Linked DNA regions of Anolis sagrei. The protein of the gene in region 1 binds, or shares a complex with, the protein of each later gene. Links are inferred from orthologs where the notes say so. Each region holds a gene or a part of one and is shown on either strand. Other genes may lie near its edges. The genes, in order: LSM3 and LSM6.

The links.
Region 2: LSM3 (region 1) and LSM6 share a complex: the UniProt entries of both Homo sapiens proteins name them as parts of the precatalytic spliceosome. The link is inferred for Anolis sagrei from reciprocal best matches to the Homo sapiens genes LSM3 and LSM6.

Annotation. Positions count from the first base shown.
Region 1 is NC_090022.1:52,137,684-52,153,170, forward strand, and holds LSM3 (U6 snRNA-associated Sm-like protein LSm3), read right to left. Parts: upstream 7,937-15,487; 5' UTR 7,856-7,936; coding exon 7,835-7,855; intron 4,342-7,834; coding exon 4,231-4,341; intron 3,143-4,230; coding exon 3,047-3,142; intron 2,721-3,046; coding exon 2,640-2,720; 3' UTR 2,369-2,639; downstream 1-2,368. Other genes in the region: XPC (DNA repair protein complementing XP-C cells), read left to right, coding at 8,429-8,510, 12,600-12,801, 14,980-15,083. UniProt on the Homo sapiens protein: Plays a role in pre-mRNA splicing as component of the U4/U6-U5 tri-snRNP complex that is involved in spliceosome assembly, and as component of the precatalytic spliceosome (spliceosome B complex).
Region 2 is NC_090025.1:47,637,625-47,653,162, forward strand, and holds the start of LSM6 (U6 snRNA-associated Sm-like protein LSm6), read left to right. Parts: upstream 1-7,396; 5' UTR 7,397-7,479; intron 7,480-11,379; 5' UTR 11,380-11,403; intron 11,404-13,604; 5' UTR 13,605-13,614; coding exon 13,615-13,708; intron 13,709-14,183; coding exon 14,184-14,297; intron 14,298-15,538. UniProt on the Homo sapiens protein: Plays a role in pre-mRNA splicing as component of the U4/U6-U5 tri-snRNP complex that is involved in spliceosome assembly, and as component of the precatalytic spliceosome (spliceosome B complex).

The DNA.
Region 1 (15,487 bases):
GAATGTGAGAGCTGTTCAGCAGTGGAACTCTCTGCCCCGGAGTATGGTGGAGGCTCTTTCTTTGGAGGCTTTTAAGCAGAGATGGCCATCTTTTGGGGGTGCTTTGAATGTGACTTTCCTGCTTCTTGGCAGGTGGTTGGACTGGATGGCCTACGAGGTCTCTTCCAACTCCATGATTCTATGATTCTGGTGAAAATTGACCATAGAGTTCCACTGGGATACATAGAGATTTCTAGAGTGATCCCTCACTCAGAAAAAGTAGGGTTTTTTTTTTAAAAAAAAATCATTTTTTCCACTTTTGCAAAAGCCTGCTTGAATGATGAATTAGATGTCAATATTTACTAAATTTGCAGATGGCATAAAATTAGAAAGGGTAGCTAATACCACAGAATCATGATTCAAAATTACCATAACAGATTAGAGAGTGGTCCAAAACCTATAAAGTGAATTTTCACAAAGCAGAACAAATGAAATGCACAAATACAGGATGGCTGATATCTGGTTTGAAAAGAGTATATGTGAAAAGGACCTGGGGATCTTAGTAGACCAGTCTAAGCATGTGTCAGTAGCTTTGATACAATAATTCTAGGCTGCATCAATAGGAATATAATGTCCAGCTGGGGCAAGGTGATCTTCTGTCAGTGTAATGCACTTGGGAATCTATGTGGTGAGTCTGGCCAGGTTGTGCCTCATTGTTATAGCTAAACCAAGTGTTATATTGCTATATTATTATATTATATTATTATATATTAATTATATTGTTATATTGCTACTTCTTGCTCTCCTGACACTCATCATCATAGGCAATTCCTCGTGGCCAAGTATGATTGTCTTCCAGAAGTAGTTTTCCAATAGTATTCCGAAACAATGATGGAATAAAGGACCAAGTTTTGGTATATGTTCACTGGGAGGCCTACTGTCACTAGCAAAGCCTCTTAGTGTGGCTATAAAAGTCACTGCAAAACGCCTACACACATCCTTCCTGTTTTCTTCTTACGCCCCTCTACTTTCCTCTATGCACCTGTTCACAACTGCTAGATGTAATACTGTTGCAGGGAGCATAAAATTGAGACTATAAATGTACCTAACCATTTTAAGTCTTGAGTCATTGATATTTATAAAATGACGAGGAAACATTTTGTTCTTTAAGGATTACTGCTCAGCACGTTGTAACTGCCTACGTAGGACTCCACATTAAGGCAACATTTCATCAGAAACAAATGGATTAATTTGATGATAATACTTTGCCGCATAGTACATTGAGTTACATTATTGATGAGATAACAGGCCAGTTACATTGCTATCCAGATCAAACATAATCTGAACACAGGCAGCACCACCTAGTGTTTCATGAAGATCCAAAGTGTTCCGCAGAGGCAGGAATCATGCAAGGTCACAGGCACAGAGGGCAAATACGACAGTTTGGAGTGGTGAGTGTTGTGGAAAATGAAGAACAGTTGTTGCCAAATGCTTGGAGACTGATTGTACATATATAAAAATATAACAGCAGTGCTAAATAGAGAAAGTTGAACAATGCTATGCCAGCACTTGCTGAATCGTGCCAAACCATTTCATTACACAGAACACAATGTGTCAATCCTCCTCCATTATTCAAGTGTAATTATAATGGCTCAAATCCAATTTTTTGATTAAGCTAGAATGTAGCCAATGAATCACTGAGAGGTTGATAAACCAGCATTTTAAGTCATATTGATTTAATGGATACCTATTGCGAAAAAAGACAGGGTAGGAAAAAAAGATAATCATTATTATTAACAATAATTGATTTAAGACTAAGAACTGGACTTAGGGCAATGAAAGCCCTTTTACGTGTGCAGCATAAACAGTTAGGATGAGTCATCTGCATCACTTTAACCGCTTGGAAATTTTACTTTTTAACAGTTATTGTCACTACTAGGGAAGAAAGAGAACTGGTTTTCACTTCATGATCATCCTGTATGTCTTCCTCACTGCATTTCTGTAGACCTTCTGGCATTTTTTGCAGAGAGATACAATTACTGAAGTTTATATACACAGTGTGCATGTAGCCCAGGCGTGGGCAAACTTTAGCCCTCTGGGTGTTTTGAACTCCAGCTCCCAGAAATCCCAGCCAGCTTACCGGCTGTTAGGAATTGTGGGTGTTGAAGTCCAAAACACCTGGACTTTTGCCCATGCCTTATGTATCCCCTTTAATCTTCTTCAGTGAATATCACTTAAAACAGTAAACATATAATGCAGTCCTAACTGATTTGCACTAGATGTGGTCAATTGGAACCAAACAGAAACAGAAATAATCATGAGAATACTGCACCACACTGAAGTAAAAGCAGTGTGTGAATAGTGCTTATACATCAGCAGATATACAAAATAAGTAAATGAAATTTATTTAAAAAAAATAGGAGAGCAGTGCCCACAGACATTAACTAAAATGCTGAATACACCAATCTGATGCAGAAGGGAATGTTACTTATATTATTCCAGGTAACACGTTTTATAACATTTATTTCCCAAATCAAGTCATGAATTCACAATACACAGTCTAGGTTGTAAAGATCTGTGTAAAATTACGTGCAGAGTCTTTATATTTAAGAGGAGAAGAAACCAGTAAGTTGAGGTCCAAACAATCCAATTTCATAGTTTCAGCCAACCCTCAGTGGAGGAGCGACAAGTACGACTCCATCTCCTCTGACAAACAGCATTGGGATATTTCTCTTGGTGGACTATGAAAAGAGAAAGCAGAAATTTTCAGGCTATGAAAAACAAACCAAAACATAAAATCTGCTGTAAAAATTTCAAGTTACTTTAAAAATGTCAAAGCCCAGACATTAAAAAAACACATTTTCTAGCAGTAAATCTTAAATAAAAAAAATTATACAAACAGAAAAACAATAACTTGTATTTTAATTTACACATTACTCAAGTTAAATCTAGTTTACATGTAGGATGTTGTATAGATCTATAATAAGTAAATAGAGATCCAAAAGATCCATTTTAGATCTACATCTAAACTAGCACTTGACATTTGCAGAATATTCAAATGTCTTACTTTGTAGATTTCCTCATACGTTTCTTCATCAATCTCTATTGTTGTCACAGTTTCTTCAACATCACCCAAAATCATATTTAAATGCTGGTCGTAAGCCTTTGAAAATGAGATGTTCATAATATATTTAATTTTTAATATTAATGACAATATTTACATCCTTATAAACAATTTACATCTCCAGCAGAGAACCAAACAATGTTTATTTTTGGATAAGGTAATGCCTGAAATTTTTGTTTTTATTCAAAAATATATACAAAGCCTTTAACCCAAAGTAAATAAGATGGCAACCCTGAAACAATCAGGATTCCTTTTACCAAGAAACAAGGCACACATTAAAGAACCAGGTATGGATGGAACTGTAGCTATGCCTCAAAGAGAAATAGTAGTGGTGGGGGAATAAAGCAGGTGTTTATTTGAACATAGGGAGACTCCATCTTGAAATATTTTCTCCCATATAAGAAAGTGTTTGTTTTGATTCTTTAGCTCCAATGAGCCAGTGCAATAAAGGATAACTGGTTTACCTGACAATAATTCAACAGGGCAGGAGGGGGTCTGGGTTCACTTGCATATCTACCTTTGCATCCTAAACAGTCTGCTTCCCACTCTTCAGTTCAGATGAAGATTAAAACCCAATCCTCCACCTGCCAGGCATATTCCCTGGCAACATGCATTCACAGATCTCACCTGCTGTCTGTTTGGGGTGTCGGAAGAAAAAGTGGCCATATCAAGAGGCAGTTTTTTTTTTTACACAGGTGAAAGGTCCCTTCTGTGAGCAGTCTACTGTTCTGCTGCCACTAAGCCAGTTCAATGATTCACATGAGGACACTGCACTTTGAAAACATGAATTGCACCTGCTCATTCATTTATAGAAATGCCATCTCAGGAAGCCTTCTGAGAAATAAGATAAATCCACACTTTTCAAATTGTATAGGCTACATGAAAATTTACCATTTTCAAAGGATATTCAAAGGATTGTGATTAGGGATGTAGAGAAACTTCATTTAACATGTGCATGTTGTTATTTTTGAATACAAATCTGCTCAAACGTGTTGAACGTCTCTTCTGTCTTTTGTGGTAATTAATGCATTAATCTTTGTTGTAAAAGTTTTTGGATGAACACTAGCCAAATTCTATTTTATAGTGCAGTTTACCATCACCATGCATTTCAATAGAGTTTCACTTACATGTAATCTGCCTCGAAGTTCTCGGTCATTTCTCATTTTCACATAAATTCGTTCATCAAGACTAAGTCTGATGAGATCCAAAGGTTCTTCTACTGTATTAGTAGTTTGTTGCTATAAAGAAAGAGATCACAAATAATTGCTATGGATAAAACGATACGGATGAACTCAATGAAGAAAAGCCTTAGATGACATTTACTCTGGCTTCCTTGATATGTTATGCAGCCTTCCTCTTTTCCTACCTTCTACCTTTCTAAGCATTGTCATTCTTTCTAGTGAGTCATGTCTTCTCATGATACATCTAAAATACAACAGTCTCAGTTTAGCCACTTAGTCACTTCTATAGAAAAGCTACTTAGGAAGCAAAAAGTACTTCATTTCATTACATGACACCTGTTTTTAATTTCTTGATTCTATCCATCGAAAATGCGGTGTTACTGTTGTCACACAGAAGAAAAAATCCACTTAAAATCCGGTTTCTGGCTCACTAAACTACCCCAGAATTCTGCAGGAGGCAGAAGCCAGATTTTAAGTGGATTTTTTTTCTCTAGTGTGATAAAGTGGTTAGTGCTCTTCCCAAGCATTATTGTCTTTGGGTTGCTGTAAGTTTTTTGGACTATATGGCCATGTTCCAGAAGCATTATTTACTGATGTTTCACCTGTATCTATAGCAAGCATCCTGAGAGGCTTGCCACAGATGCAAGCAAAATGTCTAGAGAAAATGCTACTGGAACATGACCATACTGCCCAAATGTTGGAAATTACAGCCTTCTTCAAGCCTCCTCTAGTAATCTGTTAATATATTCTGTTTTCTTACTGTTTTGTATGCCTGTTCTGATATGTAGCTTCTTTTGCTCTATGTTTCATGAGAGGTTGTGGGAGGGGCTGCACACCACATGATCTGATCTGAGACTGTTCAGACCTCAGACTCCATTTTAGATTTCTTCTTAGACTCAGACCAACACTTGCCTGCTGTTGTTGAAAGAAAGAAGCCTTGTGTCATCTGCACATAGAAACTATCTCAAATATATCTGAAATTGGACTGATAAGCTGTGTACCTGTGTTATGCTGAACATGAAGGCTGTGAGTAAAGCATTTTTTTTCAAAGCCTACAACTGAAGACATAATAATAATAATAATAATAATAATAATAATAACAACAACTTTATTCTTATATCCCATCACAATCTCCCCAAGGGAAGTTGAGGCGGCTTACAGGGGGATCAAGCCCAACATAAACAAAGGTTACAAGTAACATAATTAAAAACATTTAACAATAAAATATACTAAAACAATAAAACCATTGGAGTAAAAAAAACATAATAAAAGACATTGACACATACTATATTTGGTTGTATACTATTTGAGAAGATTCTACTCAAATGGGTTTTTGGCTCTTATTTATTTATTTATGACATTTATATGCCACCCTTCTCACCCTGAAGAGAACCTCAGAGCAGCTTACAAGATAGTAACCTACGGATGTGAGAGCTGGACCTTAGGGAAGGCTGAGCGAAGGAAGATAGATGCTTTTGAACTGTGGTGTTGGAGGAAAGTTCTGAGAGTGCCGTGGACTGCAAGAAGATCCAACCAGTCCATCCTCCAGGAAATGGGGCCCGACTGCTCATTGGAGGGAAGGATACTAGAGACAAAGTTGAAGTACTTTGGCCACATCATGAGGAGACAGCAAAGCCTGGAGAAGACAATTATGCTGGGGAAAGTGGAAGGTAAAAGGAAGAGGGGCCGACCAAGGGCAAGATGGATGGATGGCATCCTTGAAGTGAGTGGACTGACCTTGAAGGAGCTGGGGGTGGTGACGGCCGACAGGGAGCTCTGGCGTGGGCTGGTCCATGAGGTCACGAAGAGTCGGAGATGACTGAACGAATGAACAACAACATACATACACACACACAATACATTATATTATTAGCATCTTACAATATCTGTATTGTATATTACTATATTGTATAACTCTTATAGTATAATCTGCAAATGGTTGTGAATGCCATTTTCCAAACCAAAAAACTCACAAACAATCCAGTGATTCTGGTATGAAAGCCTCCGACAACACATTATTGTCTTTTCTAGTGAGTCAAGTCTTCTCCTGATACATATCAAGTATGATAACGTCTGGGTGTATCTATACTGCAGAATTAATGCAATTCGACTTTCACTACCTTGGCTCAATCCAATGGAATCCTTGGATTTGCAGTTTGATGAGGCACATCGATCTTTGGCAGAGGCGGCTAAAACTACACCTCTCAGGATGCCATAACATTCAGCCATTATGTGGTGTCAAACTACATCCATTTTACAGTGTAAATGCAGCCTTGGTTTAGTCACCTTGGCTTCTATAGAAAATTCACTGAGAAACCACACTCCTGCATCAATTCTGCAGTGTATATACACTTGGATTCAGAAGGATGAACATGTACCTTATGACAAGACTTGCTCTCCAAAATGAACTCCATGCAAAATAAGGCATTACATTAGGAATTGGGATAACATTAGGAATTGGGACAGTTCCATCCTCCTCCTGATATGTCATCTGTCGGGGACCTCTCCCTGCAGCACCAACTGCTGCTCTGGGCCAGAGTGAAGAGAGAGGGGGCCAGGGGACAGTTCCACCTTGTTTCCTGTGCTATTCTAATAATACAATATAATGCAATGTAATATAATATATTGTATATACATATAGGTAAAGGTAAAGGTTTTCCCCTGACATTAAGTCCAGTTGTGTCTGATCTGGGGTGTGGTGCTAATCTCCATTTCTAAGCCAAAGAGCTGACGTTGTCCATAGACACATCCAAGGTCATGTGGTCAGCATGACTGCATGGAGCGCCGTTACTTTCCCGCTGGAGCGGTATGTACTGATCTACTCACATTTGCATGTTTTCGAACTGTTGGGTTAGCTGAAACTGGGGCTGACAGCAGAAGCTCACGCCACTCCATGAATCTGCGACCTTTCAGTCGAGAAGCTCAGCAGCTCAGCACTTTAACCCACTGTATATTGTATATACATATAATATTTATAATATTATAATGTAATACAATATAATATGATATTTTAATAATTATATATTTATATTACATGTAATATTACTAATAACATTACAATATAATGGTATAGTACAATATAGTAATATTTAATACTGATGTGGTACTATGTTAATACTATAATATATAATATAATATACCTCTGAGGATGCTTGCCATAGATGCAGGCGAAACGTCAGGAGAGAATGCCTCTAGACCAGTGGTTCTCAACCTGGGGTCCCCAGATGTTTTTGGCCTACAACTCCCAGAAATCACAGCCAGTTTACCAGCTGTTAGGATTTCTGGGAGTTGAAGGCCAAAAACATCTGGGGACCCCAGGTTGAGAACCACTGCTCTAGACCATGGCTATACAGCCCGAAAAAACCTACAACAACCCAGTGATTCCGGCCATTGTATGTATATATCCCTTGTAAGCTGCTCTGAGTCCCCTTCGGGGTGAGAAGGGCGGCATATAAATGTCGTAAATAAATAAATAAATGTTAAAATCAGCCCCCCTTCTCCCTTTCATTTCCTCCCCAAAAGAGACGCAGGAGATAACGCGGTCACCCACCTGATCAACCTCGTCCGCCATTTTTTCAAAGGCGGTTCGAGTCTCTTCTCGCGGTATTTTATGCCCGGTCCGCTGTGTTAGCGGCAGGCGCTCTAGACTTGTTTTAGAGGCACTCTCACAGGCGCTCACTTCCGGGTCGCGTCCGTTTCCACAGAGCTTGGCTTCTATATAGTAGTGCTTTCGGACTCAATTTCCCAGAATCCCTCATCATGGCCCAAGGGTGTTGAGGATTATGGAAGTTGGAGTTCTAGGGGGAAAAAGAGGGATTGGGCAAACTTGGGCCCTCCGAGCGTTTTGGACTTCAACTCTCACCATTCCTCCCAGCCTCAGGCCCCTTCCTTTTGCCTCTCAGCCGCTTAAGCGGCTGAGAGGCAAAAGGAAGGGGCCTGAGGCTGGGAGGAATGGTGAGAGTTGAAGTCCAAAACGCCTGGAGGGCCCAAGTTTGCCAAGGCCTAGGAAGCCAACTTAGATCCTCCTCTTCCTCCTCCATCTCTGGCTGCGCCGGCACGCCCCCTAGTGGCCAGTGGCGCGCTCGCGTTCTGTCTCCATTGTTTTCCCCATGCGGGAAGGAAGCCCCCGAAGGAGCCGCCAGCGATGGGCGACAGCAGCAAGCGCAAGGGCCGCCCCTCGCTGCAGGGCGCCGGCAAGAGGCCCCGCGGGGACGGGAAGCCAGGCGGTGAGACCCCGAAAGAGCCATGAAGGCCGTGATGGAGGGAGGGAGGGAGGGGATAGATACACAGAATGCCCCTGACACACTGTAGAATGTAGAAGGAGCCCCCGGTGGCGCAGTGGGTTAAACCCCTGTGCCGGCAGGACTGAAGACCGACAGGTCGCAGGTTCGAATCCGGGGAGAGGCGGATGAGCTCCCTCTATCAGCTCCAGCTCCTCATACGGGGACATGAGAGAAGCCTCCCACAAGGATGATAAGAACATCAAATCATCTCTTGGGCATTCCCTGGGCAACGTCCTTGCAGAAGACCAATTCTCTCACACCAGAAGCGACTTGCAGTTTCTCAAGTCGCTCCTGACAAGACAAAAAACAAAAATGTAGAATGAAGTTTGGCACTGCCATGGCTCAAGCTATGGGATCGAGAGCCCTGTCGCTTTAAGGGATTTGGCCTTCTCTGCCAAAGAGTCCTGGTATTGTATTGTCTAAGGCAGGGGTCCTCAAACTAAGGCCCGGGGGCCGGATGCGGCCCTCCAAGGTCATTTACCCGGCCCTCGCTCAGGGTCAACCTAAGTCTATAATGACTCAAAAGCACACAACAACAATAACAACAATAACAATCCTATCTTATCAGCCAAAGGCAGGCCCACATTTCCCATTGAAATACTAATAAAATTATATTTGTTAAGATTGTTCATTTTAATTATTGTATTGTTTTTAATTTTTTTTTTGCACTACAAGATATGTGCAGTGTGCATAGGAATTCATTCATTTTTTTTTTCAAATTATAATCCGGCCCTCCAACAGTTTGAGGGACTATGACCTGGCCGTCTGTTTAAAAAGTTTGAGGACCCCTGGTCTAAGGCTTTCATGGCCAGAATCACTGGGTTGTTGTAGGTTTTTCGGGCTATATGGCTATATTCTCTCCTGATGTTTTGCCTGCATCTGTGGCAGGCATCCTCAGAGGTTGTGAGATGCAGGTGAAACGTCAGGAGAGAATGCTTCTAGAACATAGCCTTATAGCCTGAAAAACCTACAACAACTCAGTGATTCTGGCTATGAAAGTATTTGAACATTTTCCCATATATATATATTTATGGATTTTGTGCAGGAGAACGTCCCAGTGGATTGCACTCTGTTTCTGGTTAGTCACAACCCCTGAGGATGCCTGCCACAGATTCAGGTGAAACGTCAGGAGAGAATGCTTCTAGAACATGGCCATATAGCCCGAAAAACCTACAATAACCCAGTGATTCCGGCCATGAAAGCCTTTGACAATACAATACCAGCAAGCGTCCTCAGAGGTTGTGACTAACCAGAAACAGAGTGCAATCCACTGGGACGTTTTCCTGCACAAAATCCATAAATATATATGGGAAAATGTATTGTCAAATACTTTCATAACCGGAATCACTGAGTTGTTGTAGGTTTTTCAGGCTATATGGCCATGTTCTAGGAGCATTCTCTCCTGATATTTTGCCTGCATCTCACAAGCACTGAGGATGCCTGCCAAAAATGTAGGCAAAATGTCAGGAGAGAATGCTTCTAGAACATGGCCACATAGCCCAAGAAACCTACAACAACCCAGTCCTGGTACTTCACCCAACTGCAACTTTCCATAGCAGAGTGGAACCGCATTTATTCTACAGTGTAAGACCCCATCTGCGGCCCCTTCCATACAGCTGTATGAAACCCCACATCTGCTTTGAACTGCGTTATATTTCAGTGTGGACTCAAATAACTCAGTTCAAAGCAGATATGGTGGGATTCTCTACCTCGATATTCATGGCTGTATGGAAAACAGAAAGTGTAGGATTTTATTCAACTGTGTGGAAGGGGCCTGAGAGCGTATCAATAACCATTTACAGCTTTTGGCACTCTCTGGCCAGGATTCCATTGCATAACTCTGTACAAAACCGAACGAAAGGAAACAACAGAGATTATCCGTCTCCACCTTTTAAATGATTTTGGCTTCCTATGGAATGAGCATTTATTAATCTTCCAGGATGAAATGCACCCCTCCTTTTCCAGAATCGGCTTTCCAAAAGACTCAGCGGAAGCGTTTGATGTGTGAATGTCTTCAGCATTCCATGCTCTGCTGCTTTATGCAACAGGCACGTGAACAGAAGAGACTTTCGCCCAGTTGCTTCCAGCAACTACATAAGGAAAACTTGCTGTATAAGAAGAGGCTGTTAGACTAAGCAAAAAGTTTCAGATGAGGAAAATGACAAAATGTTTCAGAGAAGAAAAATCGAGCTTTTCTTTTTGCTTTTTTCTAAACAGCTTGATCAAGAAGAGAAAAGGCAACAGACAGTAGCTTTTGTTGAACCATTTTGGAGTGCGTTGTTTTCAAAAAAATTTATCTTCCAGACCAGACATGGGCAAACTTTGGCCCTTCAGATGTTTTGGAATACAACTCCCACAATTCTTAACAGCCAGTGCCATAGGCCCCTTAAAACATGCTGAACATTTTCCTATCTAAAACTGCATTCAAGAATCCCTCATGTTCTTGGAAACTAAGCAGTGTGAAATATTTGTATATCTTCACCCCAATGAATGCTAGCTGCTACAGGTTATATTTCAAAGAAAGGAACTGACAAAGCCATCTCTGAGGCCTCTTCTGCACTGCCCTATATCCCAAGTTCTGATCCCAGATTATCTGCTTTAAACTGGATTATATGAGTCTCCACTGCCAAATAATCTGGGATAATCATATAATCCTGAGATATAGGGGCATTGTGGAAGGGTTCTGAGTCTTCTTCGCTTAAGAAAACCCCATTAAATTGATGGGGTTGCCATTCGGCAACGGGTGACTTGAAGACATGTACGCACAAGTTGCTTTGCCTTATTTATTTATTTATTTATTTATTTGTCATGTCAGAAGCAACTTGAGGTTACAGTTATCATGTATTCAAAAACACAAACAAAGTTTAAAACTTTGCATTATACTAAATGTCCTTTGACCAGAAGCAGGCCACTTGGGGCCCTTCTCCACAGCCCTATATCCCAGAATATCAAGACAGAAAATCCCACATAATCTGAGCGTGGAGTCAGATAACCCAGTTCAAAGCAGATATTATGGGATTTTCTGCCTTGATATTCTGGGATATAGGGCTGTGTAGAAGGGCCCTTGGAGTGCCTCTGGTATCGCTGTAAGAAGGTTCATGTGGCAGGGCTCAGTGTGGAGAAGAGCAAACCACTTACTACAGTGCAGCTTGAGCTCCAGTGCTTTGCCTTGAAAGATGATACAAAAATATTGTGAATAAAAGTTTTTGTTATTGGCTATTTGATCACTACATATTTTAATTACAGTAATAGTATTAAGGTAATAACCCTAGGATAGGCTTGTCAGAAATTGGAGTCAGCTTTAAAACTTGTACGAATATTAATATTCCTGTATTTTATACTACCCAGAGTATTCTGCCCCAAGGACTGTACAGTTTGAAACCTTACATAAGCAATAATGGAGGAAGTAGACCCAGGTGGTTGCAGTTGCATGTTTAGTCTTCATTGTGCTATTAGCCTTCAGACATTTGCATAGGATGCTTGATTTCCTATCACTTGGTGGCTTGAAATGAAATGTATAAACTGACATTATATGTCATTTTTCTCAGTTATAGTTTATGTTCTCATCTACTCTATCTAAAAACAAGCCATAAAGACACAGCATGTGGGAGTGCTGCATTTTTAGTTTCCAAGGTTCAGCAGCTTTCATCATTCCTTGTTTTTAGAAATAGCAGTTTCTTCTTTCCCAGGATTGTTTAGAACAGTCTAAATAGACAGGTAAAAATATACCTCTGCCATCAGGCGTTTAATGAATGACGAGGTGCAGGCTGCTGGAGATGCTGGAAGTAAGATTGGGGGATTTCCATCTAAATGATGCTGGAAGTAAGATTAAGATTTCCATCTAAGTGTGTTTGAATAGGACTGGGTTTGAATGTAGATAATTATGGGAAAGAAAGAAACACAGAGAACACTTCAGCAGTTATTAATATTTACATTGGGGTCCGTTGCATATTATAGTGCATCAAAGAGATAATCACTTTCCCCCAAATGTGTGATTTCAGTTTTCTCTATCCTACCCCTCATTTGATACAGATGATTTTGAAGCTGAAAAACCCAAAAACACAAAACGTTTGCCCAAGGCTTCCTCCGAAAAAAAGAAGAAAAGAGAACATGAAGAAAGTGTTTCTTCCTCCTCCTACAAAAATGCAGAACAGAAGGCCAAAAAGCCCAGAGTTAAAGAGGAAAATAGCGCTGTAGAAAGACAAAGATCCTGTAAGAAGGGAGAGAGATCCAGGTGAGTGACTGTATAGATCAGGTTTTCACATAAACAACAAACCAGAATTGCTCTGATTTTGTACTTCTTGCAGCAACAAGCGAAAGCTTAGCACTGTGTTTGGTTCCAAGAATCGTAAACCATGAGTGAGTGAACTCCAGTTTTAGGTTCTGATTTGTTAGGAAAGAGATAGTTCAGGAGTCCTGGAGCTTTTATTTATTGATGACTTCCATCATAGTTTGACTGCTTCTGTTGGTAAGTGGATCCAAATAAGGGTAATAGGATAACACCCTCCTGGTGTTCAGAAAAAAAAAAGAAGAACACCTGGCTTTGCAATCAGGCACAATGTAGCATGCAAATGATGACCTTAGGACTGGGTTTTATGTTTTAATCATTTTATGATATTTATATGTTTTAACTATTGCATTGATGTATTTTATTTTATGTTGTTGAATAAGCAGTATTAAATATTGCCACTCTGTACACCTGCAAGGGTGAGAAGAGTAGGACAGAAATATAGCAAATAAATAAATAAAATGTGTTAATGCATTGCTTGTAAATCAGAGGTGGGTAATTAGTGTATTTGTACAATACGAAGACACATTTTCCCTGTATAAACATTTCTAAAATCGGATGTGTCTTAGAATTTCAGGTGTATCTTATGCATTTTTGTTGTTGGTGGTGGTACTGATATTAGGGTGCATGTTAGAATCAATGGTGTCTTGCAATGGAAGTATATGGGAGTCAGGACTCAGTTCCCCCATCTCTCCCAAAGGACTCCCCACAAATCCCCAAAAGCTATGCCAAGTAAATATACAATCAGCCCTTCACACTTCTGGGTTTAACTTTTGTGGTTTTAATTAATATGTTCTCTTTAGGAATTTCTAAGTCCTCCAGCACAACACTATGGTCAACTTCTGCTGACTGACAGAAGCTATATAGCCACACTGGAAAGCATTTCTTTAGGCATTTGTTTGTCATCAAGCATGAATCTATGGTCAGTTTCCAGTGGAAGGTGTTTTCTGATGTAAAAAAACCGACAATTTTTCATTCCCATTTTTCCACCTTTGTACGGGTCCTGTGTTTCCCCAGGGAATATGATCAATAGACTATATGGTGTATATACACTGCAGAATTGATGCAACTCGATATCACTTTATCTGCCATGGTTCTATGCTAAGGAATACTGGAAACTTTAGCATTGTAAAGCTTTTAGCCTTCTCTGCCAAAGAGAATTGGTACCTCACCAAACTACAAATTCCAGAATTCTATAGCATTTGTTGTTCATTCGTTCAGTCGTCTCCGACTCTTCGTGACCTCATGGACCAGCCCACGCCAGAGCTCCCTGTCGGCCGTTACCACCCCCAGCTCCCTCAAGGTCAGTCCAGTCACTTCAAGGATGCCATCCATCCATCTTGCCCTTGGTCGGCCCCTCTTCCTTTTGCCTTCCACTTTCCCCAGCATAATTGTCTTCTCTAGGCTTTCCTGTCTCCTCATGATGTGGCCAAAGTACTTCAACTTTGTCTCTAGTATCTTTCCCTCCAGTGAGCAGTCGGGCTTTATTTCCTGGAGGATGGACTGGTTGGATCTTCTTGCAGTCCAAGGCACTCTCAGAACTTTTCTCCAACACCAGAGCTCAAAAGCATCTATCTTCCTTCGCTCAGCCTTCCCTAAGGTCCAGCTCTCACATCCGTAGGTTACTACAGGGAATACCATGGCTTTGACTAGGCGGATCTTTGTTGCCAGTCTGATGTCTCTACTCTTGACTATTTTATCGAGATTGGACATTGCTCTCCTCCCAAGAAGTAAGCGTCTTCTGATTTCCTGGCCACAGTCTGCATCTGCAGTAATCTTTGCACCTAGAAATACAAAGTCTGTCACGGCCTCCACGGTTTCTCCCTCTATTTTCCAGTTGTCAATCATTCTTGTTGCCATAATCTTGGTTTTTTTGACGTTTAGCTGCAACCCGGCTTTTGCGCTTTCTTCTTTCACCTTGATTAGCATTAAGCCATAGCAATTAAAGTAGTGTCAAACTGTTTAATTCTACACTGCAGATGAACCCATTCACTCAAAGTGAAATGTAGTTTCTTTGAAAGAAGCTAACTTGCAAACATGGGCATGCCAGAGGAAAAGTGCAAAATTAAGTGAGAGCAAGTGTTGTAATAGATGCCTGCTCATTTATTCTTGCATGTATTATAGTGGCTTGCAGAGCAGTCCTCAAAAGAAAGATATAAAAAAAGAGATCACCATCAAAAAGAAAGAGGAAGAGGAGGAAAGTGAAGATGAGTGGGAAGATGTCGAAGGTAATACAGCTTTGGTTTCCTTCTTCATAGATCATGATTCTTTCATTCATTCATTCATTTAATACAGCAGTCTTTGGGCTTATTCTCTAACTAAAATCTTCTTCAACAAGCCAGATTTTATCCTATCTCATCTACTTTTGTATTATTTTTGTTTACCACTGAGTTAAGGTTATCCATGCTTTAATGTTCAAAAGTGATTTTTTTTATAAAAAAAAGTTATTTGATTTAAACTAGCAAGTCAACCGCTGAGCTGCTGAACTTGCTGACCAAAATTTGGCTGTTCAAATCTTGGGAGTGGGGTGAGCTCCCGCTGTTAGGCCCAGCTTCTCCCAACCTATCAGTTCAAAAACATGCAAATGTGAGTAGACCAATAGGTACCACTTCAGCGGGACAGTAATGACATT
Region 2 (15,538 bases), on another chromosome or scaffold:
AGTTCATTGCTTAAACCCTAAATTCAATGGCAGCTGACCAAATAAAACTGCTCCGTTCTATTTTTTCTTTCTGATTTATATATTTCTGCCTTCCCTCTCCCCTTTTTTATGGCCAGGAGCCTAAGAAAAAAAAGTTGCGAACATGCCATACTTGTGGGTTTTGAGAGTATGGCAAGCCATGGTCTAGACAAGTCAAAGCTTGAGTCAACAATGAAATACAGATTTTAGTTTTTATCTGAGGGTGACTAAGAAACAATGGCTTCTTGGCAGGGTTGAATTCATGTATCACGAGCCAGATTTCAAGCAACTAGATGATGGGTTGTTGTGAGTTTTCCAGGATGTATGGCCATGTTCCAGAAGTGTTCTCTCCTGACATTTTGCCCACATCTAGGGCAGGCATCCTCAGAGGTTGTGAGGTCTGTTGGAAACTAGGCAAGTGAGGTTTATATTTCTGTTGAATGTCCAGGGTGGGAGAAAGAACTCTTGTCTGTTTGAAGCAAGTGTGAATGTTGCAATTGGGCCAGCCAACACCTCCCAACCAATGATCCCCCAGGCAGGAATCAGACAGTCTTTGAAGCTGCAAGGCCATTCAATGCTAATCATGGTGGCCAATTGCAACATTCACACTTGCCTCAAGAAGGCAAGAGATCTTTCTCCCACTCTGGACATTCCACAGATATATAAACCCAATTTTCCTAGTTTCCAACAGACCTCACAACCTCTGAGGATGCCTGCCATAGATGTGGGTGAAATGTCAGGAGAGAATGCTTCTGGAACAATACCATACAGCCCAGAAAACTCAAGGCAACCCAGTGATTCCGGCCATCGACAACACAACTGTATGATGGTTTGTCATGCTGTCCTAGTGTTGTCAGTAACTTGTGGTTTGCTATACAAGCATTAAGATGAAGTTTTGATGTAGCAGTTTTGATACAATTGTTAAGAAAAAACTTGCTGCGTGAAGATACCATTTGCAACATGATATTCACTTGCCCTTTCCAGTGCTAAACATTCAGTCTCAGCAAAGCATTATGAAAGGATCCATTATTTACAAATGTCACCACTAAAGGCACTATAACAAATATTATTTAAAAAATATCCTTACCAAATGAAAAACTAAACAGTTGTAGAAGATTACAGTTGTCCCTGTGTAAGTTTGAGGCATTATGGGAGGGAATTTACTGTTACTTTGCTTTTTCTGTGAACATGTCCTGTTATCAAATAAATCTTTTTTTATATTCTGATGCTTATCAGAATCTGGAATTATAAGCCTAATGATATCTAATATTCATTTTAAACACTATTTACCATCAAGAAAGTGGATTCTGCATGGAAAAGTGCAGGTGTCTGTTGCATTTTAATTTTTGGCCTGGCCAAATGGTGAGCACAAACTATGGCAAAGAACAAGTTAGCCAAATGTCCTACACAGCCATGGATCACTATCTGGAATTAGGGGGTGCCCTAGGCCACTGATACAATATCCTCTAAATTTACTTAGCCAAAGATGCCACCCGGTTCTGGTGTTATGGATACTTTACAGCAGTGGTTCCCAACCTTTTTCTGACCAGGGACCACTTTGACCAGGGATCACACTCCAACATTTGTACCGAAAGAGTTACAAATCAGTTTTGGGTCAACTTTAGATTCAGTTTGGTAATTTGGGGTGCTGATTCAGAAAATTGCATTGGATAGGCCATATCAGATTTAGTTTCTGATACAGAACATATGCCATCCAGTTGTCGCCATCTGTTCACCCATATAAAACCATATTTAAGAAGCCTTGGCACTATAAGAGGGTTTCACGAGACCAGACGCTCTTGTTGCAACAGTCTAGTAATGGATAGGCCGTGGACCATATTTTAGTTCTTGTGGACCACTAGTGGTTGGGACCATAGGTTGGGGACTTTACTGGATATAGACAAGATGTTGGGAGATCTGAGATTGACAATCTGCATTCTATATCCTTGTGTCACATGACTTCTAAAGAACAGAGTTGGAAGTTTAGTTTTCAATGATAATGTTTCCTTGAAAGAAGGAATGGTGCCTATCACGAGGGCATAGTGACTAAGCCTTGTAAATTAATAAAATGTTTTTGAAAGTAGTTTGTAATTGTATATAGCAAATGTGGGAAATTGCAGATTTCTAGGGTACTGCATTAGCACCCCCAAGAGACCTTAAGTCCCACAAAAACCTTTAAAATATTTTGCTCCAGATGCAGTGCAATATTGCAATACCATTCCTTTCACCTTCTGGGTGATATTGGTGAAGATTTCTCACTGGTTGGGATGGGAATCCCCCTAAAACAATATTAAAGTATTTGCAGGCTTTATTGTTGTTGTTCTTGTTGTTGTTGTCATTGTTAGTGGTCCTACTCCCACCGAAGGTTACCTGAAATTTGGAAGGGGTACCAAACAAATTTATTTAAGTGTCTAGAGAGCCATACAAACATTAATGGGGAAATAGGCTTTATAGTGTGGCTGAGTCAAACCGTGGATACTAAATCTGTGGATAAGGGGGCCACAAAATGTCGTACAATATTTGAAAATGTGGTTTAATTGCTTTCATAGAAATATGTTAGAAATGATGATAGGGCCAAGAAATATCTCACGGATAATTTTTCCTCATAAAATGTAAATTACAGAATAAGTGATCCAAATAAAATGAGATTGACTGGGCTGGAAAAGCACAGGAATGAATGAATTACATTTATCAAATCAAAAAAATGTTAAGTGCTGCCCTGTTCATTAGATAATGGCAGCCACATACAGCTCTCACAGTTGTCTTTCGTGTGTCAGACCGAAATGAGTTTCCGACCTTTTCATCATGTAGAGCTTCTAAATAGTGATCTAACAGGAAAATGTTCAACAGCTTCAGTTTTTCCTTGATGTGATCTACAGTTGGCCCTTCATATTTGCAATTTTGACTTTTGCAGATTATTCACAGATTTGCAAAAATCATATTTATATAGAAATTAATCCTGAATGCATTTAAATGGCTTTTAATTAATATAGCATTGACTAGGATATTGACTACTGATCCTATTAAGCTAAAATAAACTGAATTTATTATATTATCTGTCTCACTGGCTACAGCAGGCATAGGCAAACTTCGTCCCTCCAGGTGTTTCAGACTTCTGCTCCCACAATTCCTAACAGCCTACCAGCTGTTAGGAATTGTGAGAGTTGAAGTCCAAAACACATGGAGGGACAAAGTTTGCCCATGCCTGAGCTATAGTATATTTACTTCTATTGCCTATTGGCTATAATGCATTTTGCCACACTTTACCTATCCCTTTCTTCCACACTCCTGCCTTGCGCACAGCCAATAATGAAATGTATGGAAATGGTGCAAAAGGTTTTCTGCAGAGCTTATGCAGAAAACTTTCTGAATTATTTGTGCCTTTTGTTTAAAATCAATTTTCTTGAACAAAAAAAAAAAATAACAATACCCAAGGCATTGTCTCTGCTTCCTCTTCTGGCCAGACATGAAACTGCGGGCTTTTTCAGACTGTTTACTCTCATTTCCCTTGACATCAATCCTCCAGAGAGAAAAACTACAATCATCCCAGCACTCAGAGTGTCCTTCCTGCTTTGCTTGGCAGAGGAACTAAATAATAAAAATTAATGGAAATTACGTAGTAAACAAGAAATACTTTCGGACCATGACTCAAGAGATAGTCACTTATGTAATAGAGAGCAAAGGTTATGCAGTTGAGTGGGATTTGCATACAAGCTGTCTGGCCATATTTCATTCATGGATATATGGCCATGCGGGTTACCTGTAACTTTTGTGATAGTGCCTTTAGTGCTGCTCTCCTCATACTGCCATCATTATAGCATTTGCCTAAATAAATGCAATGTAGATCAAAGCAAAACAAAACACCTCTATATTAGAAATATCTGTATCTCAGCATCCTTACTAAAGTATTGACTTGGCTCCATGCTTTGAAATTTTGTAAGTTGTAGTTTGGTGAGGCACCAGCACTTTCTGGGGACCCTTCTACACTGCACTATATCCCATGACCGAATCCCAGATTATCTGCTTACTCCAGATTGTATTGCTGTGGAGACTCATATAACCCAGTTCAGAGAGGATAATTTGGGATCTGATCATGGGCTATAGGGCAGTGTAGATCTAGGGCCCTTGTACACTGTCATATAAAATCCAGATTATATGCTTTGAACTGGGTTATATGGCAGTGTAGACTCATATAATCGAGTCCAAAGCAGATAATGTGGATCCTCTGCTTTAATAATCTGGATTATATGGCAGTGTAGAAGAGGTCCCAGCCTGGGAGAGAAGACTAAAGACCTTGTAGAACTACAACCCACAAGATTCTTTAGCACTGAGCCATGGCAGTTCAAGTGGTATCAAACTGGATTAAGTCTACAGTGCAGATGCACTCTTGATAGTATGTATAAGAAAATAAGTTTGCCAGCCCAGAATTTCAGGCATCCACAAATCTAAAAATCCTATAGACAGTATTTTTTTCTAAACAATAATTATTTTCTAAATGGGGGAAAGACAATTAAACTAACAATATCGTTTGCAGTGACATTTAAATTATTCTAATGCACAGAGATTTCTCACCAAAATCTTCAATTCTCCTAACATCTACTTGAGGTTTTTTGTCACTTCTTTTCTGCAGGAATTGTGCACAAATATTTGATTTTGCATGGTTTTTCAATACCAGTTCAATGCCAGAATGATTTATTTGACATGTTAGCTATCTCATTGGTTTACAAGTTATTCTCTCAGGTATAATGCTTCATGAGTATGCAGTCTTAAATATACATAATAGTGAATTAGTCTGCCTGAAGTCAAAGTGCTGAGTACCCAAGGCCATGTATATTGACTAGTGAGACAGGAAATCCCACAAGCACTTTATTTCTTGAAATATGAAACTGGTGGAGTATGAAATCTGAAACTCAGCTGCTTGAGTTGGTTCTGCTTGTGAGTAAAACATACATAGGATTGTGATACAGAGTCCAATCCTTCATGTGTGTTTCTTAATAAAAGAAATTCTGTTGGAATCAGTGTGACCTTTCTTAGCATCTCAGGCCACTTCCGCACAGTTGAATAAAATCCCACATTTTCTGCTTTGAACTGGAATATATGGCATTGTGGACCCAGATAACCCAGTCCAAAGCAGATATTGTGGGATTTTGTGCCTTGATATTCTGGATTATATGGCTGTGTGGAAGGGTCCTCAATCAAGAGATAAAGCGAGATGTGATTTATTATTATTTCTGATTTGTTTAGGGAGAAGCTGCTAAAGGGTCAAATTTGGAACAAGCAATTGCAGACCATGTAAGTGTGCAAAGTTTTTGTTTTGTTTTTTGAAAAAATTAAGCTTCTGAATGCTGGGACATAATCCCCCTTCTTGAACACACCTTCTGACAAAAGCAGGTTATTAGAGTAATTCATTACAACTATTATTTCACTAATTTCAATCTTTTCTAGTTTTGTAATTCAGCTCCCATAATTCCTGACAGTTGACCATGCTGGGAGTTGGAAGTCCAAAACATAGTCTAACCTGAAGACTATGGGTCCTTTCGCATAGCCATATAACCCAGAATATCAAGGCAGGTAATCCACAATATCTGCTTTGAACTGGATTATGGGTCCACACTGCCATATAATCCAGTTCAATGTGGATTTTATAGCTGTGTGGAAGGGACCTTGAAGTACATCTACACTGGAAATTAATGCAGTTTGACACCACTTGTACTGCCCTGTCTCAATGCTATGGAATAAAGAGAATTGTAGTTTTACACGCTATTTAGCCTTCTCTGCTAAATAGTTGAGGAGCCTTAAGAGTTTACAACTTCCAGGATTCCATAACATTTAGGGCTCTTCCACACAGCCATATCAAGGCAGAAAATTACAAGATATCTGCTTTTAACTGGGTTACCTGAGTCCACACTGCCATATATTCCAGTTCAAAGCAGATGTGGGATTTTATTCAGCTGTGTGGAAGCCATGACAGTTCAGGTGGTGTCAAACTGCATTAATTCTACAGCACACACATTCCACTATTTTGCATGCTCAATAATTCAATAAAGGAGGGGGGGGGCTGCTTATTAATGTTCCCATACTCTGCGTGCCTTTTCATAGAATCCTAGAGTTGAAAGAGACCTCATGAGCCATCCAGTCCAACCCCCTGCCAAGAAGCAGGAAAATTGCATTCAAATCACCCCTGACAGATGGCCATCCAGCCTCTGTTTAAAAGCCTCCAAAGAAGGAGCCTCTACCACACTCTGGAGCAGAGAGTTCCACTGCTGAACAGCTCTCACAGTCAGGAAGTTCTTCCTAATGTTCAGAATCTCCTTTCTTGTAGTTTGAAGCCATTGTTCCGCATCCTAGTCTCAAGGGCAGCAGAAAACAAGTTTGCTCCCTCCTCCCTATGACTTCCCCTCATGTATTTATACACAGCCCTCAGGCTGAGGGAGATATGATAGCCATGTATAAATGTGTGAGAGGAAGCCACAGGGAGGGAGCAAGCTTGTTTTCTGGTGCCCTGGAGACGAGGACACAGAACAATGGCTTCAAACTACAAGAAATGAGATTCCATCTGAACATGAGGAAGAACTTCCTGACTGTGAGAGTCGTTCAGCAGTGGAACTCTCTGCCCCAGAGTGTGGTGGAGGCTCCTTCTTTGGAAGCTTTTAAACAGAGGCTGGATGGCCATCTGTCAGGGGTGATTTGAATGCAATAGTCCTGCTTCTTGGCAGGGGGTTGGACTGGATGGCCCATGAGGTCTCTTCCAACTCTTATGATTCTATGTCTCCTTTCCAGCTTCTCTTCTGCAGGCTAAACATGTCCAGCTCTTTAAGCCACTCCTCATAGGGCTTGTTCTACAGACCTTTGATCATTTAAGTCGACCTCCTCTGGACACATTCCAGCTTGTTAATATCACTCTTCAATTGTCGTGCCCAGACTCAGGGCCCTTGGGGCTCTTGACTCAGGGCCCTTCTACACAACCCTATATTCCAGAATATCAAGGCAGAAAATCCCACATTATCTGAGTGTGGACTCAGATAACCCAGATATTGTGGGATTTTCTGCCTTGATATTCTGGGATACAGGGTTGTGTGGAAGGGCCCTCAGAAGCAAAGGACCCTTCCACATAGCCTTATATCCCAGAATATCAAGGCAGAAAATCCCATATTATCCAAGCGTGGATTCAGATAATCCAGTTCAAAGCAGATACTGTGGGATTTCCTGCCTTGATATTTTGGGATATAGGGTTGTGTGGATGGGCCCAAAGCTTCTCCTTTCCCAAACATAAGAAAGAAAGAACAGCCTCCAATCAAAAATTCCATCACCGAAGAGTTTTGGCCTGCGCTGGCCACCGTCGCTGCCACGTGAAGCCGAAAAGCGCTGATTGGTTCGGCGAGCAGCCTATCATCCATCATCGCCGTCGTTCTTCGTTCGGGGAAGGCGTTCGAGACGGTGAGCGGACGTCAGAGGGCGCGGGTGAGTGACTGAGGGCGAGAAGTCAGGGAGGGCGGTGAGCGCGCGCCCAACTGTTTGTGCTCTCGCGCTCGGAACGTTCCACTCGGCTTGTTTGGTTTTTTTGGCGGCGGGGGAGGGGTCAGAGACGAGGCTTTGCTGCTCCTCTTCCTTTCCTTTGTGGAGGGGTTCTTGGAAAGGCCCATTTCTGCCCCCCCCCCCCACCTTCGCGCCTCTTGGTACAGCCCTTTCCTGAATGAAAGACAAGCGGCCTTTCTTCATTCTGCCACTTTATACCCTGTGGCTTCGGCCTTCCCCTCTTCGAGCAGCTTTGGCCCTTTCGGGTTTAATGCGTTTTATATTGTCCTTTCCGACCTAAGGCAACTCCATGACAAGATTGTTCAGAGTGGGGAGTTTGCCTTCCTTTAAGGCTGAGCGGGTGTCTGACTCCCAAGGTCACCCAGTGGGCCTCATGGCTGAGCAAGCATTTGAACCCCGGTCTCTAAAGGAAGCCTGAGCCAACTTGGGCCCTCCAGGGGGTTTGGACTTCAACTCCCACAATTTCTAACAGCCCCAGACTCTTTCCTTAATCTTTGAACTGTATTATATGGTAGATCAGGCCCTCAGGGGCAAAGGAAAGGGCCTGAGGCTGTTAGGAATGGTGGGAGTTGGAAGTCCAAAGCTCCTGGAGGGTCCAAGTTGGCCCATGCCTGGTCTACCATATAATCCAGTTCAAAGCTTAAGCAGCTGAGGGGGAAAAGGAAGGGGCTTGAGGCTGTTGGGAATGGTGGGAGTTGGAAGTCCAAAGCTCCTGGAGGGTCCAAGTTGGCCCATGCCTGGTCTACCATATAATCCAGTTCAAAGCTTAAGCAGCTGAGGGGGAAAAGGAAGGGGCTTGAGGCTGTTGGGAATGGTGGGAGTTGGAAGTCCAAAGCTCCTGGAGGGTCCAAGTTGGCCCATGCCTGGTCTACCATATAATCCAGTTCAAAGCTTAAGCAGCTGAGGGGGAAAAGGAAGGGGCTTGAGGCTGTTAGGAATGGTGGGAGTTGGAAGTCCAAAGCTCCTGGAGGGTCCAAGTTGGCCCATGCCTGGTCTACCATATAATCCAGTTCAAAGCTTAAGCAGCTGAGGGGGGAAAGGAAGGGGCTTGAGGCTGTTGGGAATGGTGGGAGTTGAAGTCCAAAACCACTGGAGGAAACACGTTGGCTTAAGCCTGCTCTAAAGCCAAATCTCAGTGCTCACATCACAACACTATGTAATAAGAAATGAGTTGTTTCTGGAAGCTGCATTGGGTACTATTGTGAGAGAAAGGCAGCATAAGAATAATAATTTTATTTATACCCCACCACCATCTCCCTGAAGGGACTCAGGTGGCTCACAGAAGAACTTTGAAGCGCCATACATAAAACAACAATACATAAACATGTAAAAGAATGAATTTGTCAAGGAACATGAAAGGCACTGCAGACTCCTTCAACCAGAGAAGTTAGCCATACCAGAGTACTTGATGAACCAACCTGGACACAGCATATTATTTGAGAACACAGAAATGCTTGACCACTCTAACAACCACCATGTCAGACTACACAGAGAAGCCATTGAAATCCATAAGCATGTGGACAATTTCAACAGAAAGAAGGAGACCATGAAAATGAACAAAATCTGGCTACCAGTATTAAAAACTCTGAAATTACAACAGCAAAACAACAGACAGGAAACAATCTGGGACATCTAATCACCTCTCAACAAAAGATTGCCCCAGGCACCAACAAGCCACACCAAACAACAGCCAGGCCATCCAATGCTAATCAAGGTGACCAGTTGAAACATTCACACCTAGCTCCAGCAGACAAGAGTCCTTTGTCCCACCCTGGTCATTCCACAGATATATAAACCCTTTTTCCTAGTTCCAACAAACCTGACTACCTCTGAGGATGCTTGCCGTAGATGCAGGTGAAACGTCAGGAAAAAATGGCTCTAGAACATGGCCATGTAGTTCGAAAAAGCCTACAACAACCCACACTTCTACCCCACCCTTCTCCCCCCGAGGGGGGACTCAGGGTGGCCTCACACAAGCACCGTATTATGCTTTCACCATATAACGGATACATTAAAACATTAAAATAATGCATTTAAACAATAGATTAAACATGCTAGATTAAAACCAAATCCAAGTCTGGGTAAATTCAATATCAGGGGTATCCTAAGTCTTCTTTCCAGTTGCCACTGTCCACTAATCGAATGCCTGGTCCCACAGCCAAGTCTTCAGTTTTCTTCTAAAGGACAGGAGGGAGGTGGCCAGCTTGATGTCCCTGGGGAGAGAATTCCAAAGACGGGGGACCATTGCCAAGAAGGCCCTATCTCTTGTTCCCACCAACTGCGTTTGCGGTTGTGGTGGGATCGAGAGCAGGGCCTCTCCTGAAGATTTTAAACTTCATGATGGTTCATAACAGGAGAGACGTTCGGACAGGTAGTCTGGGCCAGAACTGTTTAGGGCTTTAAAGGTTAAAACCTTTATATAGGCAAAGAATAGGTAAAGGTTTTCCCCTGACATTAAGTCTAGTCGTGTCTGACTCTGGGGGTTGGTGCTCATCTCCATTTGTAAGGTGAAGAGCTGGCATCAATAGACGCCTTCAAGGTCATGTGGCCAGCATGACTGCATGTAGCGCTGTTGCCTTCCTGCCGGAGTGGTACCTATTGATCTACACCCATTTGCATGTTTTCGAACTGCTGGGTTGTCAGAAGTTCCCCCTGGGATGGGGGTAAAAATGTTGTAAATAAATAAGTGCCCGGAGTGAACAATCGGTGAATTCTTACTCTGACAATAAATTATACAAAGTCGAAAGCCTGCCTAAAAAGCCATGTTTTTAAACTAGCCCAAACGGCTTGGCGAGTGGGAGCTAACTTAATCTCTCTTGGGAGGGTATTCCAGAGCTGGAGCGGGCCACCATGGTGAAGGCCCTCTCGTACCTGGGTGGTGGGACTGAGAAAATAGCCTTCCTGGTAGATCTCAATGCGGCCTCGAAGATAGGTTGGACCCAAAGCGTATAGGGCTTTATTGGTGATAACCTGCACTTTGAATTGGGTCCAGAAACTTAACTTGCTCTAATAGGGGCATAGAGTGCTCCCTATAGTTAGCTCCAGTTAGTAATCTAGCTGCCGATCTTTGCACCAACTGCAGCTTCTGAGCCATCTTCAAAGTTAGGCCCCACGTAGAATGCATTACAGTAGTCCATTCTGGATGCAACCAAGGTGTTGACCACTATGGCCAAGTAAAAATATAAACAAATAATAATAAATCTTTATTTCTAGACCACCCTCTCTCCCCACAAGGACTCAATCACAGTGCTGGAAGCTGTCATGGTGCTGGGAGCTGTAGTTTTAAAAGTTTTCTCTGCCACAGAGTGCTGGTGCCTTGTCAAACTACAACTTCCAGGATCCTATAGCATTGAGTCATGGCATTTTAAATGTGGCATCAAACCAAATTCATACTGCAGCATAGGTACAGCCTAATAGATTTTCAAATTTGCTGACATCTGATGTGAAAATCAACTCAAAAGCATTTTAAAGAATCATACTAGAATCGCAATTGAATTGCCTGAATGTTAATCAAAACTGGGCAACCATGGAATTGCAAAAAAAAAGTTGTGAATGAACTGTGTGTAGTTAACTGTTTTAATTCTGTTTTTCTGATTCCTCACCCAAAATTAAAAACAGCTACAATATTGGGAAAAAATTGATTTTCCCCCCATTCCAAACCACCCTTTATAATGGTAGAATGAGAGAAGATATCAGTATGGATCTACGCAGTTGGTTTTCCAAAGGAATAAAGGTTAAGGCTGAAAGCAGTATGTTTTTCTTGTCAATAATGGATTAAGATCGAGGTCGGTTTTCTCATTTCACTCTGTATTTTTATCCTCACAGCCATTCTCATCGCCAAGTGACTGGGTAAGTATGTGATACTAACCACCACATCCTGTGTGTTTTTAAACTCTTTACTAGGTGATGAATATACTTTTGTTGTTCATTCATTCACTTCCTACTCTTTATGACCTCATGGACCAGCCCATGCTTAGCTCCCTGTTGGCCGTCACCATCCCCAGCTCCTTCAAAGTAAAGCCAGTCACTTCAAGGATACCATCCATCCATCTTGCCCTTGGTCGGCTGCTCTTCCTTTTTCATACTAGAAACAGATAATATGACATCAAGCCATGGGTATCACCCCACCCAATTTTGGAATGCATACTCCATTAAAATGTAAAAGTACATAGCTATATACAAATAGCAACATCCCATTGGATTTGGTTGGACATCCACCACAATCATATCCATGTCTCCTTGGTAATAAATCCATCTAAGTTCTTGTGGACTGTCTAAGTAATAAGTGTATATCTAGACTACAGTTTAATTCAGATTCTAGAACTTTTTTTCTCAGTGCTGTTTGAAATATACATTTCTATAGGGCTAAATCCAGTTGTTAGTCCCAATATAACAGCTGTTGAATCAGTGAAATAATGTACCATATATTCATGTATAAGTCAACCTCATATATAAGTTGAGGACAGGTTTTGAGGCCAAAATTGATTTTGATATGATTAGATAAATCAAGGGTCATTCCTTGGAGAAAATAAAACACTAATGCCTGCAGATTCAGTTGGAGTACAGTACTTTACTTGGGACTAGCCATAAAATTTCCCCCATAAGTTGAAAGCTACTAGAGGTCATGCCCAACTCACTACTAAGCATAGGCTCTGCAAAGTTTTAATTTTGTAACTGACAGTTGTCCAGCTCTGCTTAAATTGCTCTAGCAAAAGGAGACTCCACCATCTTCATAGGCAAGTGTCTTCCACAACATAACAGTTTTTATGGTTATGAAATGTATCCTGATTTTCAACTGAAATCTCTTCTGGACTCACAGAGCAGAATTCTGTTTCATCGTGTGCATTTCAGGTTGCCTGTTGAACCTCATTTAGTTTTGGCATAATGTGTTTGGATCTATTCAAATCAATGCTGGTACCTAAGGTGCCACCTATATCTCTGTTAATTGATCAGCAATCCCTCTGCACTCTTATTTAGGGCACTTATAAAAATATTGAAAGTGGAAAGCTAATTATTGTCCTGAAAAGTAACTGAGAGGGCCAAGTTCTAATTTCGAATTACCCTTGGCCCACTTTCTGCAGATATTTTTTTCTGGATTTTACTTGTGAACTAATCTAAGTGTTGGTGATGGGTCTCAGGCCAGCACCTCTGTGGCAGATTATATCCTATAGCAACAATGCTTCTGACTGTCCTAGAAATAATTGGATCCATTGAAACCTATTTCTGCTAATGAATTCAGTCTATGTCCCTGTGTGCATTTACAAAGACCTGTTGTGTCTCAGATGTTGTGTTTGCTTGTGGATTGCTTAACCATTTGTGACATATCAAAAACTCATTAGAGAATGTGAAGGATAAAAGTCTAAGTGACACTTAGAACTGAGGTTGATGAAAGCAAAAAATATAAATTTAAGAAGTGGGTAGTATAAGAATATAAATAGGACTTCCACTTAATAATTCTAAAAATGTTGTTAGAGGCTATTTATTCCATGTTATATTTAAATGAAGAAATACGTTTTGTATGGTGAATAGATCTTATATAGTAAAGGTTTCCCCTTGACATTAAGTCTAGTTGTTTCTGACTCTGGGGGGTGGTGCTCATCTCCATTTCTAAACCAAGGTCATGTGGCCAGCATGACTGCATGGAGCACGGTTAGCTTCCTGCCGAAGCAGTACCTATTGATCTACTCACATTTACATGTTTTCGAACTACAAAGTTGGCAGAAGCTGGGGCTAACAGTGGGAACTCACCCCGCTCCCCAGATTCGAACTGTTGATGTTTTGGTCAGCAAGTTCAGCAGCTCAGCTGTGCCACTGGGGCTCCAGATCTTATAGATTCATGTGCAAATCTAAATAAGAATATCAGATTATGTAGCTAAAGATAATTTTTGGTGATTGTGGAACCAGTATCTCTTCATTTAAAACAACCATTTTATTTGATATTTCCCTAGCAAACTCCTGTGTATTCCATCTCACTGTCATTGTTGAGCATTTGTTTTTATCTCTTTTGCATTCTTCAAGATAAAGCATTTTCCTCATTCTTATTTGTTTAGGTCTGGCAGAATGAGCCTGCGGAAACAAACTCCAAGTGATTTTTTGAAACAAATAATTGGAAGACCAGTTGTTGTAAAGCTAAATTCTGGAGTTGATTATCGAGGTACGTTTTTTTCTGTCTCATCCTTTAGCCAGCTTCATATATTTACACCATATTTTAGTCAGGCCAAAGAACCAATATAAACTTTGATGGTACAGAATGGCTGGGGAAGGTTCTGTGTTACCATGAATTGTCTTTTAACATAATTTTTACATAATCCATAAATGAAAGAATAGCTTTTCTAGCTTTCAAAGCAGATTAGCCCTGTGTTAAAAGTTCTGTATGGCAACTTTTTAGTTTGTATACTGAATGTTAGAAAATGAATATTGCTTTATTTGATAGGTGAATGTGACTTCCCATTAGCTATGTGTTTCAGTTTCTCCAGTCATTTTTGTGATGCACTATTTACATGCAATTTTAATGCAACATTTGCTTAGAAAAGTGATTGATTTCATTTATATTTTGCTTGTTCTCCCAAATGGTAGTCAAAACAAGTGTAGTTTTCAAATCTGAATAGTTCTGTGTTTAATTGTTCTAGGAGTGCTGGCTTGCTTGGATGGATATATGAATATAGCTCTGGAACAGACAGAGGAATACGTAAACGGACAGCTGAAGAATAAATATGGAGATGCTTTCATCAGAGGAAACAATGGTACTTATACTTTACTAAGAGATACTAGAGTTGGGTATACGCATTTCAAATGTTTTGAAGAAATCATACCAATCATCTTAACAGAGAAATACAAGTCTGCCTAGAAATCCTGCCAGTTGACCTTCTTTCATCACATATTGGAAGGGAGATATTCTACATATACTTTGTGGCATTGTTATGTGTGGTTGTTTTTTTAAACTGGGAAAAGATTTAGAGATGAAGTTTCTCACAATTTCTCTTCAACTGCTATATGGTGGTAGGGCACATGTGTGTATGTGTGTGTTTTTAATTTATAATTTTGTATGTTTGTTTGTGTGTGTGCATGCACATGTGTGTGGGTTTATATGAAGTTGGAATTTCTACTAGTTTTTTCCACCCTTGCTGGAAATTCAAGTGGGAAAATGGGATTGTCTTCCTAAGTGTTGTACCACTTCAGATGGTTGTAGTGGCACAAAAGTGAAGGAGAGAGTGATGAGAATGTTTGTATGTCAGTATATAAATAAATATTATAAATAAATTTTCCCTATAGAAAATTCCCTATAGAACAATAATATAATAGGAAAATAGAAAACATATAACAAGAATTCAAGAAAAAACTACTATTAAAATAAAGAGTCTGTTGACTTCCATCTAATCCTTTGCGGCTTTATCGTTGTCTTTACCTAAATATTTTCTATTGAGGGTACAGTTTACAATAAAGTAAATCGGCTCTTCTTGTATCTCCATTATACACTAGTGACTTTTAATATATCTATTTAAATCTCATTTTTTCATATTCCTCTATCTTTGACCAGTCTGTATATTTAATCAGATTCCCTGAATTTTTCTTTAACAAAAAAATTAGTTTATCCATGTCTTTGATCTCTCTCACTTTCTGAAACCATTCATCTATATCTGGTGTTATTTTTTTCCTTCCAATATCTCGCGTAGCAAATTTTGGCAGCAGTGGTCAAATAAGTTAGTGGTCAAATAAGTAAACAAAATATCATCATTGTAATCTAGCGGTAGGTCCAAATCAGTTATGCCTAAAAGGTAAAATTCTGGCTTCATGGGGAATTTAATCTTGAAAATGTGTTGGGTTGCTGCATGTATTTTCTTCCAGAACCTTTTTGCATCCTTACAGGTCCACCACATGTGAAAGAATCTATACAACATTGTTCTCCCACTTTACATGTACAAGAAAAAAATACCCTTCTATTTTTATTTTTATTTTGGTAGGGTTTTTTGGTAGTTTTTTTTCT